Diceros bicornis minor: one gene and its partner. The protein of the gene in region 1 purifies or fractionates together with the protein of each later gene. This does not show direct contact. Links are inferred from orthologs where the notes say so. Each region holds a gene or a part of one and is shown on either strand. Other genes may lie near its edges. The genes, in order: POLD3 and SPRTN.

Region 1 (8,579 bases):
TTGTTCTTCACATTGATGTTAAACCTCATCGTTAAGGAACAGGGAGTGAGTTGTCTTTTTTGTTGTTTTAAGGAAGCAGCATTTAAGGTGTAGGTCGGAATGGTGATACTATTCCTTTTTGGAGATTGCCTTTTCCATTTCAAACAGGGAAAACATTACAGATGCCTGGAATAAGAAGATGAGTTAATTTTACATTGCAAAATGCTCTATTTTTTTAAAAAAAAAAGAAAATGTGTTATTTTTTTCTGATGATAAAAATGATACAAACTCTTGTGAAAATTCAAACACGAGTAAAGAAAAAATAAAATGAGGAAGAGAATAAAGATCAACCAAATGCTATCTCCTAAAGACACTGACAGTGCCTGAGCAGGGGCTTTGGGCACAGCTAGGTGGAAAGAGGTCTCCACCACTTATGACCCATATGGTTGGGGCTAGTTACTTAACCTCTCCGAGCTCCAGCTTCTTCATCTGCAAAACAGGGATAACAGTAGGTAAATAATAATATTTACTTATTTTACAGAATTGTTTTGAGGATTAAATGAGAATATTCAAGTAAAGGGTCTAGTATGGTGCTTATATACTTTACATACTCAATGAATGATAAGAAAAAGTGAACACTATCTCAGGTCACCTTGTTTCTTAATCCAGTGTTTTTCCCCCTTAAATCTTGCCTTCAGTGTAATTGAAGTTAAGTCAATAAACATTTACTAAGAACCTATTAGATGCTGATGTGGTTGTTGTTATGTTAGAAGGAGGCCAGTTCTAAAATCCTACTTAGTTATTAGTTTAAGCAAAGCTTGTCTTGGAACCTATATCGAATCATTTCCTATTCACTCTTCCTATTGATAACATAAAATTGATTTCAAATTTGAGTCCTTTTTGGTGAAGGAGTAATAGAATAGAATAGAATAGCAGGGTTATTTGAGGATGAAATGAGTCATTCTACGAAAGGTACCCACACATGGTAGGTGCTCAATAGACAATAGTTATTATCCCAGCAATGCACACGAGCTGAAAGACTTTCACACCTATGATTTATGGAAGTGAAAGTACAGAGAGGTCCTCTTTTCTGGTTTAGTTTTTTGTTTTTTTTTGGTGAAGAAGATTACCCCTGAGCTAACATCTGTTGCCAATCCTCTTTTTGCTGAGAAAGATTGGCCCTGGGCTAACATCCGTGCCCATCTTTCTCTACTTTATATGTGGGATGCTGCCACAGCATGGCTTGATAAGCAGTGCGTAGGTCTGTGCCCGGGATCCAAACCCGAGAACTCTGGGCCACCAAAGCTGAGCGTGCGAACTCAACCACTATGCCATCAGGCTGGCCCCTGTGGTTTACTTTTGACCCTAGAACTAAGCTTTCAGGCATCATCTAGAAAAAACACTAATTTCCTGGACATAGTCCTATTCTTGTTTACTGGCTTTTGCTAGCTATAGTTCCAACTCTCTAAACCTAATCTAACTTTCTGTCCCCTGCCCTTCCAACAACTGCCCTTCCAACAACTGCCTTGAAAACTTCCCAGGTTAACTTGTTTGCCTGGATTCTATGTTCCCACAACCTGTAGATAATCAACATATACCATTTGTTTCTTGGCTTCCGCAATTCTCATTTTGATGTGCACAGGGATTCCTCCAAAGTTCTGCAATAAATGTGTTTGAGTTCACTGTATTTATTATTGGTTTTCCTATATGCAGGTGTAAACTAATAACGAGACAGCAAAACACAGTGTTTACGATCATAGATGCTGGAGCCAGACTGCCTGGGTTTTAGTTTTAGCTCTGCCCCTTACTCTGTGATCTTGGGCAAGTTACTTAACCTCTCTGTGCCAATGTTTACTTATGTGGAAAAATGGGATAATAACGCACCTTACTTTCTAGGGTTCTTATGGACATTACATGGGTTAATATTTGTAAAGCACTTGGAACAGAGCCTGGCATATAGTTAGTGGTATATAAGTGTTTGTTATAAAATACTAGTTATCATTTATAAAAAGCTTAGCTATCTACCAGCCACAGAACATGTTACTTTCAATCCCCTTAATCACAAAAGGTAAATTATTTATACTGGTGTTCTAGAGCTGGTCTGTGTTTGCTTAGGAGAGCCAAATGTTGAAGTTTCAGAAAGTTTGCAAGTCAGTTGTTAAACAAGGCAATTACTAAAAATTAAATTATATAAATTTATAATTAAACAAATTATATTAAAAACAAAGACAATAAAGATTCGAATCTCATCACTTCCTAATTATTTTACTGCATTTTACTACTATTTATGCTCTTGAGGTTATTTGTTTATTGTACTTGAGTGGTGGAAATAATGGTGTGATATTGTGTACCTTTTCCTAACTCTGCAATCCGTGACATCAATATTGGTAGCTTGAAGTCTGCTATGGTGGGAATATTTACACCACAGAAGTTGGCAACCACTACAAATGAGGGCTTTTTTATTCAGTAAATTGGTTGTTAAACATTTATCAGTATACCACTGCATATTATTATCCCTTCTTTAAAGATGAAACTGAGGACTAGAGAGGTTAAATGATTTGCCTAAGGCCACACAGCTAGGAAGTGGTAGAGCTGGGATTCAAGCCCAGGTTTTTGTTTGTTTGCTTGCTTGCTTTTTAAAAGAAAAATTTTATTTCCAAAGCCCACATGCTTTCTATTCAGCTATGCTCCCCTGAGGTGGGAATGTTCAGGCTGGGTAGGCCTCGGCCACAAACAGAAAAGCTAACCCTTCCCTTCCCCCTCCGGCAACCTTACCCTTAAGGTACAAGCCCAACTCCCAGCCTACCCACTCCTGGGCCGTGGTCATTCTTTTCTAGTACCATTACTCCACCTCAGATTTGGAGATGCCTTTGGTCATTTATCTTATTTGATAATCCCATTACTATCTTGCTTGGGGTCCATTTTTACCCATTATCCCTTCTTCCCAGAATCTCTCTTCTTTTGTCTAAGGTTAAGACTAAATCCATTCTTTCCAATACCTGTACCTGTTTTCTATTTTCCTGGTTTGACAAGACTTGGGACAGTATTTAAGACTCTTCAAATAATCACTTTTCTTAAACTCTTTATTGGCGTGAACATACATACAGAAAACTATACATATCAGAAGTGTACAATTCAAATCATTTTCACAAACTCAACCTACCCATGAGACCAGTGCCGAGATCCAGAACCAGAACATCACCCTTTTCTCCGAAGCCTTCCACTTCCTACTCTCCAAAGGGTAACCACTAATCTGGCTTCTAAAAGTCATGCAACTCTCTTAATATTGGTATATCTAGGACCACGGTGGGCCAGCATTATCATCTCTCCCTTTGGCATAGGGTTAGTATTCAGACTCCTCTCTGGTGAATTATCTTGACTTATTTCCCACTCCTGTGTAGCAATGACAAGAAACTTGAGTTCCAATCCCAATGCTACCACTTAACCCTGTGACCTAGAAAATCCATGTCTCCTCTCTCTTTTTTTTTTTTGTTGAGAAAGATTCTCCCTGAGCTAAGATCTGTGTCAATTTTCCTCTATTCTGTATGTGGGACATTGCCACAGCATGGCTGACGAGTGGTGTAGGTCCACACCCAGGATCCAAACCTGTGAACCTGGGCCACCAAAGTGGAGTGTGCTGAACTTAACCACCAGGCCAGGGAGCCAGACCCAGCCATGTCTCCTCTCTTAAGCCTAGGCAATTTAGTCTATAAAATCTGGACAAACACAAGGCATTTGCAGGGTTGCTATCAGGATTAAATGAAATCTCACTCTCAATGCACCTGGTACAGTGTGCCTGGTATATAGTACTGTAATAGCCAAATGTTATTGATTTTATTGTGTGCAGACATAGTGTGAGGGGTTTATGTATATTATCTTGTTTATAACTCTGGCCAAATAGAATTCTTTGATTTCCTCATCTTCTCTTTCTCTCAGTCTTCTACATCTCAGTAGTCAAATGCTTTACCATTTACCTAACAATTTAGGTTCCAAATCTAGGCATTTTCCTTGATTCCTGTCTTTCCCACACTCCTCTCATCTACTTCATCAGCAGGTTTTGCTGACTCTAAAAAGAAGACCCAAGTCACTCAGGTCTCTCAATTTCCACTACTACTATCCTACTTTAAGCCACTACCATCCGTCACTTAAATCTCTTCACAAGGCTGTAAGCTATATGTGAACAGGTTCTGTGTATTATTGATCATAGCTGTATCCCCAGCACCCCAGCACCCAGAACAGTGCCTGGCCCTTAGTAGGCTTTTGCTAAGTATGTCTTGAATGAATGCATGTAGCAACAAACGTTCGAAGTGGGTACTATTATTACTTTCATCTTATAGATGGAGAAACAGACTTGCAGTGGTTAAATAACTCACTTAAGGTCATACAACAAATATCAAAACCAGGATTCAAATCCAGGCTCTAACTCTAGATAACTGCTGGATTATCCATAATGCTGCTGCATTGAACTACATTGGCTGATGCTGAAGTCAATGATAAAGGTTGTTTTTTAGTGGATGTTAGGAGAAATTTTAGTTGCAATTCCCCAACCTGAAAACTTTTCCCGAGAATAAAGTCCATGTGCCCCTTCACAGAGCCTTGTAGGCGCAGCATGATTTGGCTTCTCCCAAGTCTCATTCCTCCTCTTTCTCCTCTTCTCCCAACATTCCAGCTATGGTGAACCTTTTTCTCTTACCAGCAACGCTCCTGCCTGTATCTGAAACACTCTGCTTCTCCCATCCCCTCTGGAAAACCTTCCCGAATGTTCGATTCTGAGGGATTTATAACAAGCAGCACCTTATCCCTGCTGGCATTACTTTACTAATACTACTTGTTTATTTCCGTCTCTATTGTTCACTGCTGGGTCCCCAGTGCTAAAGAAGTGCCTCAAATAGAATAGGTACTTGATAAATATTTGTTGAATAAAGGGATGCAAGAGCAAGGATTATTTCATCAACTTTCATGTGGAGAGACTGTGGCTCCTCGAGGTGAGGTATTTTACCCTGGGTCAGTCATTAACTAGCAGAGCTGAGATTTGAAACCAGAGATTCCCAGACAGCCCGTCTAGTCCACGCCCGCTCTCCCAGCTCCTCACTTCCGCCCGCTCCTACAAGCTCCGCCCACTTCAGCCTGCGCCATCTCGGAGACTAGTTTGACCCTCGGACGGCCGCCGTAGCGCGTCGCCTCCGTTGCCGTGGGAAACGACCCGGGACCTGGGTGGGAGAAAAGACGTTTCCCGCCGGCGGGAGCTGCGCTTGTGGCGGCAAGGGGAGCTCTGAGGCGGCGGGGACCGGCGTCGCAGCACCATGGCGGACCAGCTTTATCTGGAAAATATAGACGAGTTCGTCACGGACCAGAACAAGATCGTGAGGAGCTAGGACTGGGGAAGGCGGGCGTGCGACGGGGGTCCTGGGCCCAGCGAGGGCGGCGGGGGTCTTGACCCCTCGGCGTGTGTCCTCGTGGGGACCGGCGAAGGGAGAGGGGGGTCCACGCCTCGTGCCTCAGGGCCAGCGAGGACTCGCGGAAGAGGCCCTCTGGCGCGCGCGCAACTCCGCGTCCCTCGAGTGGGCGTGCCCACGCCCCAGGGGCCGTGGAGGTCAGGCGCGGAGGGCGGGGCGTTGGTTGATAATATTTCTAGGGTGTCCCTACACCTGTCTGATAAGGTGGTTGGCGTTTAAGTCCCAAGTTTACAGTTGAGGAAATTATGTCTTAACTGGGTTAAGTGACAAGTTGTTGAATTTTCTGACAGTCGGTTTCCTCTTCCTGTAAATTTGGTATGGACACAGGCTTGACCTGCCTCACAGGTTGGAGTAAAGCTCAAGTGAGATGATGGATGTGAATGCGCTTTGCAAACCGTGGGTAATTGAGTGCCTGCTGTGAACTTTGGATCCACATTATTGCATTTAATCTTTACGGTGACCTACCGAGAGTTAGAAAAGGAAGTTGAAGCAGAGGGGCCAAATAATTTCTTTATACAAATAAAGTAAGGATTTATACGAATTAGTAGGGGATAGGCATTTTTCCAACCTAGGTCTGTCTCTTGCTAATGCTTTCTTCTACATCATACTGCCTTTGCCTAACCTATGTAAGTCTTCTAATTATTGGAAACAGCATTTAGAATTGGAAGACTTTGAGAGGAGAGTGATAGGCATGCAAGGAGGCGACAAGTGACAGGAGAGTTCAAGGAAGGATGGAAGGAAGATCAAGGCTTGATGCATTTAGTTCCCAGTCTACCCTCTGATGCAGTATTCATCCACTTCATTCATTCTCTGGCCCCTGCACCACTGGTGCCCTTTAATGTTTGTTTGTATGGCTGCAACTTTCCTTAGAAGTTTCCAAGTCATACACTTCAAAGAAATCTAGCTTCTGGGTGAATTTGAAGATAATTTTTGGTGGTGGCCCCAAAAAGGGACAGAATGTGAAAAAAAGAGCCTTAGTAAAACAAGGAGTGTGAGAAAAATGAGAGCCCTTTTCTTTCTATGTATATTCAACCTTTCTTTTTAGACTCTTTTGCATTAATTGGTCTGTGAAACAAACTTCTTAGTATTTGTAAGAGAAATCTCTCCATCCTGCCTGCCCAGATGGATCATTCTTGGCAAACTGGGGTGGCATCTATTGTAATTTATAAAGTGTAATCATCTAAGAGTAGGACCTTTTAGGACCCCCTGGGACTGACCTGCACTCTGGAGTCATCTGATAAAACGTTTAAAAAATTTCTTCTTGCAGGTGACGTACAAATGGCTGAGCTATACACTAGGGGTTCACGTCAACCAGGCCAAACAGTAAGTCCAATTTATTACTAATTTTAATCGCATTGGAGTTTTTCGTTTTGCTTTGTTTTTTAGCTTTACAGATGACCTCTAGGTTAGAATTATTTTTTTTTTTCTGGAAAAATGGGAAAGCATGCTATTTTTACTACCTTTTACTACTTTTATTATTTTGGAGATAAGTGGACTTCTACTCAAATGTGTGGTGATACATTTACTGGGTTTATTTGTAACCTTGCCCTCTGGTTAATATCACTTTGTTATATCAAATTTATTAAACAGACTAGCCAGTTCTGTTTATACCTCAGATTTATATGCCTGTTATCTCACATCTTCATTATGTTTTCACACGTGCTCCTTAGGCCCATCTCTGGGTGTTATTGACATACTTCCATAATGAGGTCAACAGGTGTTTTACACAAGCTGTATAATAGTATGAGACGGGAGAACTTAAATAGTTTTTTTAACTTCACTTAAATAGTGAAACTGAAAAGCGAGTGTTTAGGATGGCATAGAGCATTACCTTTCTTGAATTTGCCATATCACTTTTCCTTGCTGAAACTTATAGTCCAACTTGAGGCCAAAAGGGAGAAACAAACTTTGGAATTAACTTCAAAAATTTCTTGACCTGCAAATATGCAGATGTTGTTTATGTCCCAAGAGGAGGAATTGGTGAACAGGCTGAGGGCACATATATTGCGTGAAATACTCATTTAGTTTGTTTTATTCCTGAAGGTAGTCTGATTTTCCCTATTCCTTGAGTCATAGGAACATTCCATGAGTCTTAGAAAATCCCGGATCTCTAAAATGGGTAGATTTGGCTTTATTTGGTTTGCTGTTTGACAGATTTAGGAATCTGATTTTGACTGTGATGTTTATGCCTTCAAGACCTGAAACTCTTGGCCCAGGAATGGGTTTGGACTGATTTTGACTGAGATTGCTGTTGCTAAGACCGGTCCTGGCCCAAACCCAAGAGGTTCAGGTAATTTTGAGAATGGACACCTGTAAGAGTAATAATTTGTTGCGGTTATGAACGTTTAAATATAAAATAAGGTAACTATTAGATAAGCCTGTTGGGGTTTAAAGGTGCATGTTGAGGACTGGAGATGAAATAAATTTGCCTGCAATTTTACTGTAGCTACTCTTATTACTTGTAATTTTTATAGAATTAACATACTGTTTAGGCCCTGCCTATCTACCAACTTCATCCCATGCCACTCTCTACCTCACTTATACTCTAACCGTATTTGCCTTTCTGTTCCTCATATATCCCAAGCCCGTTCTCACCCTGGGACATTTGCACCATTCCCTCTGGCTGGAATGCTCTTCTCCCAGCTGTCCTCATCCTTTAGGTTTCAGCTCCAATTTCACACGTTATTTCTTGTAACAGCCCTTCCCTAATGCTCTATTTCAGGTATCCCCACCACTCCCTAGCTCTCTGTCATATCTTCCTGTTAATTTCTTTCATAATTCTTTTTTTTAAAAAACAGCTTTATTGGGATAGAATTTACATACAATACAATTCACCCATTTAAAATGTGCAATTCAGTAGTGTTTAGTATATTCACAGTTGTGCAGTCATCGCTGCAATTAATTTTAGAACATTTTCATCACCCCAAAAAGAAACCCTGTATCCATGAACAGTCACTCACCATTTTCCCCCTATTTCGGTCCCCCCCCCCACCTCCCTCCAGCATTAGGCAGCCACTAATATACTCTGTCTGTAGATTTGCCTATCCTGGACATTTCGTATAAATGGCATCATACAATATGTAATCTTGTGTGTGTGATTTCTTTCACTTAGCATAATATTTTTAAGGTTTGTCCATGTTATAG
Region 2 (8,290 bases), on another chromosome or scaffold:
TTCTACATGTCAAGGCCCAAATTCCCAATCCTAGGTAAGCCAGCCGCAAAATACAAGTGCTGATAATTTAACAACAGGTAGCATTTTAAACAAAAATAAGTAAGTTTTCAGCACTAAAGTGAAATGAGGCTTTAATCAAAAAGAGACTTAATTCCACAGGGTATCGTTTTTCAACAGTAATTATTTCAATCAAGTCTATGATTCCACGCTCAAGTGACAGTGTTACATTTGAAGCAAACAAGAAAGGGCAATCAAGCCTTAAGTGGTATATTACAGTATGTACTATATTTTTCGACAATCTGTAACTGCATTCTATTCCTTGACTTGTTCAGGAGTCTAATGAAACAAGAATTAGAGAGAAGAGCTCTGACTCCACTTTGAGGAACAAAATGTCATTGCTCTGTCCTGGCGCAAAGGTACATTATGACATAGGTGGTCTTTAATCAACTCCCCACAATAATTGATTCACCAAAAGCTACTTCCTTCAGCTATAACTTTGACTGAGGAACACACAAATTCTAACAGAAGAAAATTCTGTACTTCCAGTTTTAAAAAGCTGATATATCTGAGCATACACATTTAAGTTTTTACAACTTCATGACTTCAGAGAAGTTCTGATTTCAGAAGTATCATTTCATGGACCCAGCATCAAATATTTACACAATACATGTTTCATACAATATAGTTTTAGAAACTGTAAGTAGCACAAAGTAATCACAAAATTTTGATCATATTCAAGTTTCCAGTGATCTTAAAAGCGACAAACTATAACTGTTTTTGGTCAGCTGAGATATCCAGTTATATGGTTATTATCTAGAAAATCCTAAAGTTATATGAAAAAATTAGTCAAAGAAAATCTGTAACTTTGATCATTTCCAACCTTGTAAATATGCATAGGTAAAAATAAAATAAAAGGGCTCATCTGGCATCTGAGTCATTAACTGAAAGAGCTCTACAACCCTCCCTAAGCCACTATTTGGAAGCTATTTTAGGTTTTACATAATTTCCACAGTCTTAATACCACTATCTTTATTCAGATAAAAGAAATGACCTTTTGAAGTCATCAGCATCAGAAATGGCACTTATGGACAGGAATGACAACTAGAAGCTAGGGGAGAAATGGATCTTAGCACAATTTCTCTCCAAGCATGAGAAATGTTATAATCAAGTACAATAGAAGCAATAGGTTAGAAACCTTGGGAAGCTCAAATTTCTTTAGTTATTTTTGTTTTACTAAACAATCTGAAGTAAGCATTATATTCACTTTAAAAACAAAACAAGGAAAATAAAAACTAAAACAAGAAAAACGCAGCATGGAGCATTTCAGTGGGAGTCACCAAATCGCTTGGGCACTGTGTCTCACCTTTCTGTTCTCCACTCGGTTACAAAAAACCAAAAACAAACCTCCAAAGTAGTCATCCGGAGAACACTGTGGGGTTTGCATAGGATTTTTTCTAATTTCCCATCTACCCAGACCCTGAAATTTAAATAAATGTTTCAATGAAAACTTGGCCCGATTGGCATGGAGTCTGACCACTCTGTAACCTAGGCTGACAGTGGGGGAGGACAGCTAAAAACCACCAGCTGCTGTCAGGTTCTTCAATGTGTCCTGTTTTTTATTATTTTTATTTTTTTAATATGAAAAGACAACAGCTCCAGCTGGAAATTCAAACAATTCAGGAATATGCTGAAAAAAATATTTATCATAGTCCTTAAGATTTTCAAGTAAATGCTCCCAAATCAAATATTATAAAGCTGCTAATTAGCAGCTGAAAATCATTAGCCATTCAAATTACATTAGAAATGTTTGCTGCACTGTTTTTATGAAAGCTTCCTCTTGTATTCTATAAGGATCAGAGTGTTTGAGTCCACACTAGCTACTCTCAAGAAGCAATTCTGTTGACTGAAATTTACCCTAAAACCAATTTTCTCAACTCCTCCTTCCTTGTCCCCAAATTGTTCAATCACATTTTAAGGTGAAGTATATTAAGCATTTTAAGGAAGTATATAAAGCAGGGTGTTTTATACGGCATTGTCTCCTTTAAGAAACCTAACATTTTAGTGAACTAGGAAACGTTTCACAACATACTTAAACTCTATGTATTTATAGATATTATTTTTCTCTGCTGCATAATATATACTGTGAGAAAGTGTGTTTTGACTCAAAGGATAAGCTGAAATGCTGTAATGTGATAATATATTCATTAGAGAATGAGCATGATTTAAAAGAAAAGCATATTATATATTTTACTAATTCCAATGTTATTGTTATTTAGGGTTAATTTAACATCTTTTTCTTTCTCCTTTTGATTTTGCATTTCTAACTGAGAGGGCATCTTTTATTTTTAAGCTGTGTTTGAGACTATAAAGAATATGCTAATACAACTTAATATAAATATAAATAATATATAAGCAACATATACGTATACATATAAACAGACCCAAGCATCAGACCACTGACGTTGTACTTTCAGGATTCACACGAATAAGTCTAGATGCATTCCTCAGGTCCTGGAGTTGCTTGGCGGGTTTCCCCACACCTTCTTCAAACCTTTTCTCCACCACAGGGAGGACTGTTTCATATAGGAAGGATGCATTCTGTCTGATAAAGGCCTTCTTCTCTGGATCCTGCTCACACCGAAGACTATAATCCACATGCTGAACAGCAACCAAAATGATTTCCACCAGGCTCTCCAAAAGTACCATGTGCAGCTCTGGGAAATACAGCTTCAGTGCTTCTTCCAAGAAGCCCATGGTCTGCTTGGTAAAGGCCACCACTGTGTAACTGAGGTTCACCCAGCAGTCATCCCCTGTGTACTGCTCGAAGTTACTCACCCCACAACTCTTCATCTCCTCTTTGAGTTTACCCAGGGCCTCTGGAGTCATCAAGTTCATCCTCCTCCACATCTCCTCCGAGTTGCGATGTTTAGTGGCTTCAATTATGATCTCTTTGTAACTGTGCAAGGCACCTTGGATGTCTTTCACCAGAAGGGCGTGGATGATGAAGGTAAGGTCTAGTCCGATGTCACCCAGTTGCTGACAATGCTCCTTTGCCACTTTTACACACTCGGCTGCTGTAGAGAGGCTCTCCTTACTGTCAAACACCTGCTTGCTAAAAGCATCCACAAACATGCCCATGGCTGATCTCGCCCAGACCACAAAGGCAGAGTAGCAGCCGCTGTCAGTGCCTGAAAAATCTGTCTCAAATTCCCTTGCAGTCTCAAGAAGGCTGGTAAAGAAGACATGGCATAGCTTATGAATGTACAGTAAAGTGGCACCTTCAATGCGAAGCTGACGGATGGCAGTGTGCACAGCTGCTGCCCTGTTTCTCAAGAAGAGCTCACAAGCCTTCGTGCACTGGCCAAGCCGGATTAGTTGAGAAACTGCCCTGCGAGTAGCCTTGGGACCACCTCTCAGGGAACGATCTGGGGAGAGTTCAAAAACCAACACCTCAGTGAGCTGTCGGACACGCTCATCCACTTTGGCCCTTAGTTCTTTTACAGGAGGTGGACTGGGCTTATCTTCCAGGTAATGGTTCAATTTATCCAGCAGGTCAACGGCCCCTTCAAAGTCCCTCTGGGCAATACAAACATCCAGGTCTTCAGGCAACTCCTGGATCCATTCCATTGAGAGGTCCACCTTCTCTTCCTCTACCTCAGGAATAGCTGGTTCGTCGTCGTCTTCATCCTCAAATGGGTTACTGGCCTTGGAAGTCACTTGGGGTGGCCCTCGAGGGGCCGCTGCCTCCTCCTGCTCCCTTCGTCTCTTTTCACCGAGGGCCCTCTTCGTTTCCTCCAGCACTTCCAGCCACTCCCGTTTAATTTTAGCATTTTCTGCCTGAAAAATACGGCTCTCGGGAAACATCAGCAGCTTGAACATGTCCTTCATGGGCGGGTTGTCCTTGACATTGACCACAGCCAAACCATCTAGAGGATAGAGAGCGTCGTAGCGATACATCCCCCGCCGCTGTGGCAGCCAGGTGGCCACCAGCAAACAGTCGTTCATGAGAAAGCCGTGCACCCGCTGCACTTGGGCCATGTGGTCCGCGTCGTATTCCACCAAGTCCCCGTTGTACACCAGGTACTGTCCCGGCGTCTCTAGCAGGTGCCTGCAGCCTTCCACCTTCTCCAGCAGAGTGGTGAGAGTGCGCTGCTTTCCTTCCTCGCCCGACCCGGAGCTGTCGCGGGAGGCGCCCCCGGGGGTGGGAAAGAAGCTAGCCTGGCCGCGGAAGTGGTCTCGGCCGGCCGGGCCGCCCCCTGCCTCCTCCCCTCCGGAGGCCGCGGCGGCCCCAGCGGCGGCGGCAGCTGGCAGCAGGGTGAGCGGGATGCTCTCCAGGCTGCTCTTCTGCTCCGTCAGCAGGTGGCTGAGCTGATACATCTCGCTCTCCAGGTAGGAGATCTCGCGGGCCGTCTCGATGAACTGCCGGTAGTTCTGGTAGACGTTGCGCTTCAGGTTCTGCGCCGTCTCCTCCGCCAGCGCCTGGATGCGCTGCCGGTGCTCCTGCAGGTCCCGGTCCCCGTCCGACTGCTGCGAGAGCTGCTTCACGTACAGCCGCGCCTCAAAGCCCCCCGACTCCAGCTGTCGCCGCAGGCGGCTCGCCCCACTGTCCGACATCGCCATCGCCATTTCCGTCCGGGCCCCACGCAGTCACTGTCACTATCGCTGCTGACGGTGCCGCCGCTGTCGAGACCCACCCAAACCCCGCCGAGCTCCAGGGCTGAGGAACAGATGGGAGACAGACAAGTACGCCTGCGCTCGAGTCTGAGCGTTAGACACTGCGCCTGCGCGAGGGGCCGGGCGCAGACAATGCGTCTGCGCAGGAACGCCATTGGCCTAGAGCGCGTGCGCCGGGGGAGTATTGCGGAAGTGAGTAGAGGGAAAGGCAAAGAGACGTAGGTAGTGCGCATGGGCCGAGCGTGGCGTTGGTGTTTGAAGTTACCGGCGAAGCGTAAAGGCGATAACCAGCTTAGTGAAACCTTCCTCTCGCCCAAGCCCTGGGAATCCCAGTTTCGAGCCCACTAGGAGGTGTCACGCTGACTTCTTTTTTTTAAGCCCCAGAATCCTGGTGTCGGCCTTGGGGGCAAGCTGAGTTCTCGTTCTCGCGCCAGTTTTCCTGAGTTCTCGCGACATCGGCGGGCTGACCCGAGAGCCGGTATCTCCCAGGAGCTCCACCCGGCCCTTGGGTTTCTGAGCCGGCGGACCTCGCTGGGATCCTGGCAGCGATGGATGAGGACCTGGTTTTGGCACTACGGCTTCAGGAGGAGTGGAACTTGGAGGTCTCGGAGTGCGATCAAGCCCAGGAGCCCTTGTCACTGGTGGACGCGTCCTGGGAGTTGGTGGACCCCACCCCGGATTTGCAGGCCCTGTTTGTGCAGTTCAACGACCGGTTCTTCTGGGGCCAACTGGAGGCCGTCGAGGTGAAGTGGAGCATGCGAATGACCCTGTGAGTCCCGAGCCCGTTGGGGAAAAGAGGCGGCTGGCTGCCCTTCCTCAGCCCCTGGCCCTGGGCTTCTCTTCTTCTCCGCCTCGACGGCCCAGGGGCCGTTAAACGAGGGCGTCTGGTTTTGGACCAGGCACCTCCTCTCCGTGTATTTCTCCCTTTCCTACCCTATCTCTCTTTCCCACCCAGACAACTTTAAGAAAGCTGTGTGGCCCACCTCGCTACGGTTTGACTTATAGGGGACACAATGAGAGAAGAGGATGTTTCTTTGAATCTCACCTCACTTGAAAATAAATTAACACATTTCTGATTTGATTTACTGTAGTGTTTTAGGAGCCAGGAAGGAGAAGCAACCAGAGTCTGGAATGCTGAGGACGCAGTGAAACCTCCAGAGGCGTGTTGTCCTCTTCTATGCTCATTAGGATCGCACCGCTTAGTAGTGAGCTCGTGTGTTAGAGTGGGCAAGGGCTTGACGTTTCCGTATTTCTGGACCTAAGGGGTCTTCGGGGATGCCTCTAAAAGGATTCCTTTCCTACACGCTAAATTTGAGAAATCTCGATTTGAAATAATCGAGTCCTGTACAGGAACGGAGTTAACAAGTTTAAGATGCGGTTGTATATTACCGTGCTTGTTTTTGAAGTGATACAAAACAACCTAAAATAAAACAGATTAAGATATCATATAAAATTGTGTTTAAAGTGCACGTTTTCTTCACATAGGCTTGTATTATAATTTTGAGATGTGCTAATGGAGATCTGGCTGTTACTGCCACAAACTGATTATAGTTTGTAGGGAGGAGACTGGGAGCAGCAGAATAGGATTATCTTCTTTGAGCTGTTGCAGCCTGGTTAGGGTAAGGGAAGCCACTACTGTTCACATATGTCCATAACTGGGGTGAAATGCAAATATCTCCCAGGGAAGAGGGTATACTTTTAAGAAAGCCATCTGCCGTAGAGTTCTCAGTGTGAACTGCCCAAGAATGTATATGGGTTTGCTCTTTCCTCTCTATTTCCCTTTTGTATGTATTTGGTAAATCATGCTTTTGTGGTGGTTGTTTTCCAGGTGTGCTGGGATATGCAGCTATGAAGGGAGGGGTGGAATGTGTTCCATCCGTCTCAGTGAACCCCTTTTAAAGTTGAGACCGAGGAAGGATCTTGTAGAGGTATTCTTTGCATAAACTTGATTCTTAATTCAGTAACTTAGAAATGCTTATTATTGATTTAGACTCCTGTGAATTAACCTGTACGTGTCAAAAAAGGAAACTAGTTTTCCCTCATTGCAAACTTTGTGGGGCAGATAATAATGATTACCTTCTATTTTTATAGTGCTTCAAAGTTAAAGGCTTTCATGTATATTATCTAAATTGATCTTTACAACAACCCTGTTTATGTTCATTGTGTGTTATCCTCATTTTTATAAAAGGAAATTAAGATTCAGAGAGATTAAGTAACTGGTTTAAGTTACATATTTAGAAGCAGAGAAAAACTTAGGATTCAGATCTTCCTATTAAGACACAAATTTTGACTCTCCTTTATTCAACCACCATGGTCCTGCCCTCCCAGGACATCTAGCCCAGCTGGCAGAACAAACCAGCGTGAGGGCACACTTCCTATCTGGAGCTAGTGGTCACTCCTGCTAGCAAAATGGAACAGTGGGAACTCTTAGATTATGGTTAGTTGAGTCTAACAGATGCCTGAAATTCTCCAGGATGCACCCAGTGTGACTTGTCTTGCCCCAGTTATATCACTTTGTATGCACAAAAGAGCATAGGGTGGTAGACATTGGATGGGAAATATGTTAAAACATGCTTGGAAATATGAGGGATGCTGTTTTTAAGGATAATAAAAGGTAATGAGTTTCACAGCAGTATGAATGTACTTAACATTATTGAACTGTACACTTAAAAATAGTTAAGATGTAAATTTTATGTAATGTGTTTTTTACCACAATTTTTAAGAAAGTAAATAGCTAATAAATGTAAAATAGTACAACAGAAATACTTGATTAATAAAAAAGGAAAGAGGAATAAAGGAACAAAGCCTGGATAAAGAGAAAGGTAGGCATAAGCACAATATCAATAATTATATTAAATGTAAATGGACTAAACACTCCAGTTAAAGACATGAAATGACACACTAGATTAAAAGAGACATACTTAAAATAGACACACATATGTTAAGTGTAAAAGGATGGAAAAAAGTAAATAGAAAGTTGTTGTGGCTATATTAGTATTAGACTAAAGATTTTAAAGGAAGAAGTTTTACTTGGAAAAAAGGGGAGATATTTTATAGTGATAAAATATTCTATTAAATAAAAACATAACAAGCCTAAAAGTAATTACATAGCTTTAAGCAAACGAAGCATAAATTAGCAGAAGCAAAAAGAGAAATAATCCACAGTCAGAGTTGCGGATGTTATAAGTCTCTTGGTAACTCAATGAATAAGCAGAAAAAAAATAGTAGACGTAAAACAAAAAAAATCGAACAACATGATTAACCAAATCAACCTGACAAGGAGCCCTAATTGGAATAATAGTGGCTTAATGAATATTTATTGCATAAATGATTAAATAAACATATGAACAAATTTTGTTTAAAAGATAATGGGTGAGAAGAGAATGGGAAATGTGTGGTAATGGTATCAGCTGAGCATTTGCTGTGGGTGGAAAGTTACAGTATCAAATCGGGTAAGAAGGACACAGGAGGAACAGTGGGACCCTGGTCTGTATTTAAAGTAGCTACCTAAATTATAATGAATAGGTTCAGAGAAGGAAAGAACTCTATCTGGTTGAGGAGGTCAAGAAAAGCTTCATACATGCAGAGTTTATTACTACTACTATCACCACTCCTA

What was found.
Region 2: the proteins of POLD3 (region 1) and SPRTN purify together in Homo sapiens (affinity purification with mass spectrometry; 3 studies listed by BioGRID, with this or other methods). This does not show direct contact. The link is inferred for Diceros bicornis minor from reciprocal best matches to the Homo sapiens genes POLD3 and SPRTN.

What each region holds. Positions count from the first base shown.
Region 1 is NC_080746.1:56,440,470-56,449,048, reverse strand, and holds the start of POLD3 (DNA polymerase delta subunit 3), read left to right. Parts: upstream 1-5,135; 5' UTR 5,136-5,282; coding exon 5,283-5,342; intron 5,343-6,702; coding exon 6,703-6,758; intron 6,759-8,579. UniProt on the Homo sapiens protein: Accessory component of both the DNA polymerase delta complex and the DNA polymerase zeta complex.
Region 2 is NC_080745.1:24,863,696-24,871,985, reverse strand, and holds the start of SPRTN (DNA-dependent metalloprotease SPRTN), read left to right. Parts: upstream 1-4,937; 5' UTR 4,938-5,222; coding exon 5,223-5,443; intron 5,444-6,502; coding exon 6,503-6,602; intron 6,603-8,290. Other genes in the region: EXOC8 (exocyst complex component 8), read right to left, coding at 2,449-4,626. UniProt on the Homo sapiens protein: DNA-dependent metalloendopeptidase that mediates the proteolytic cleavage of covalent DNA-protein cross-links (DPCs) during DNA synthesis, thereby playing a key role in maintaining genomic integrity.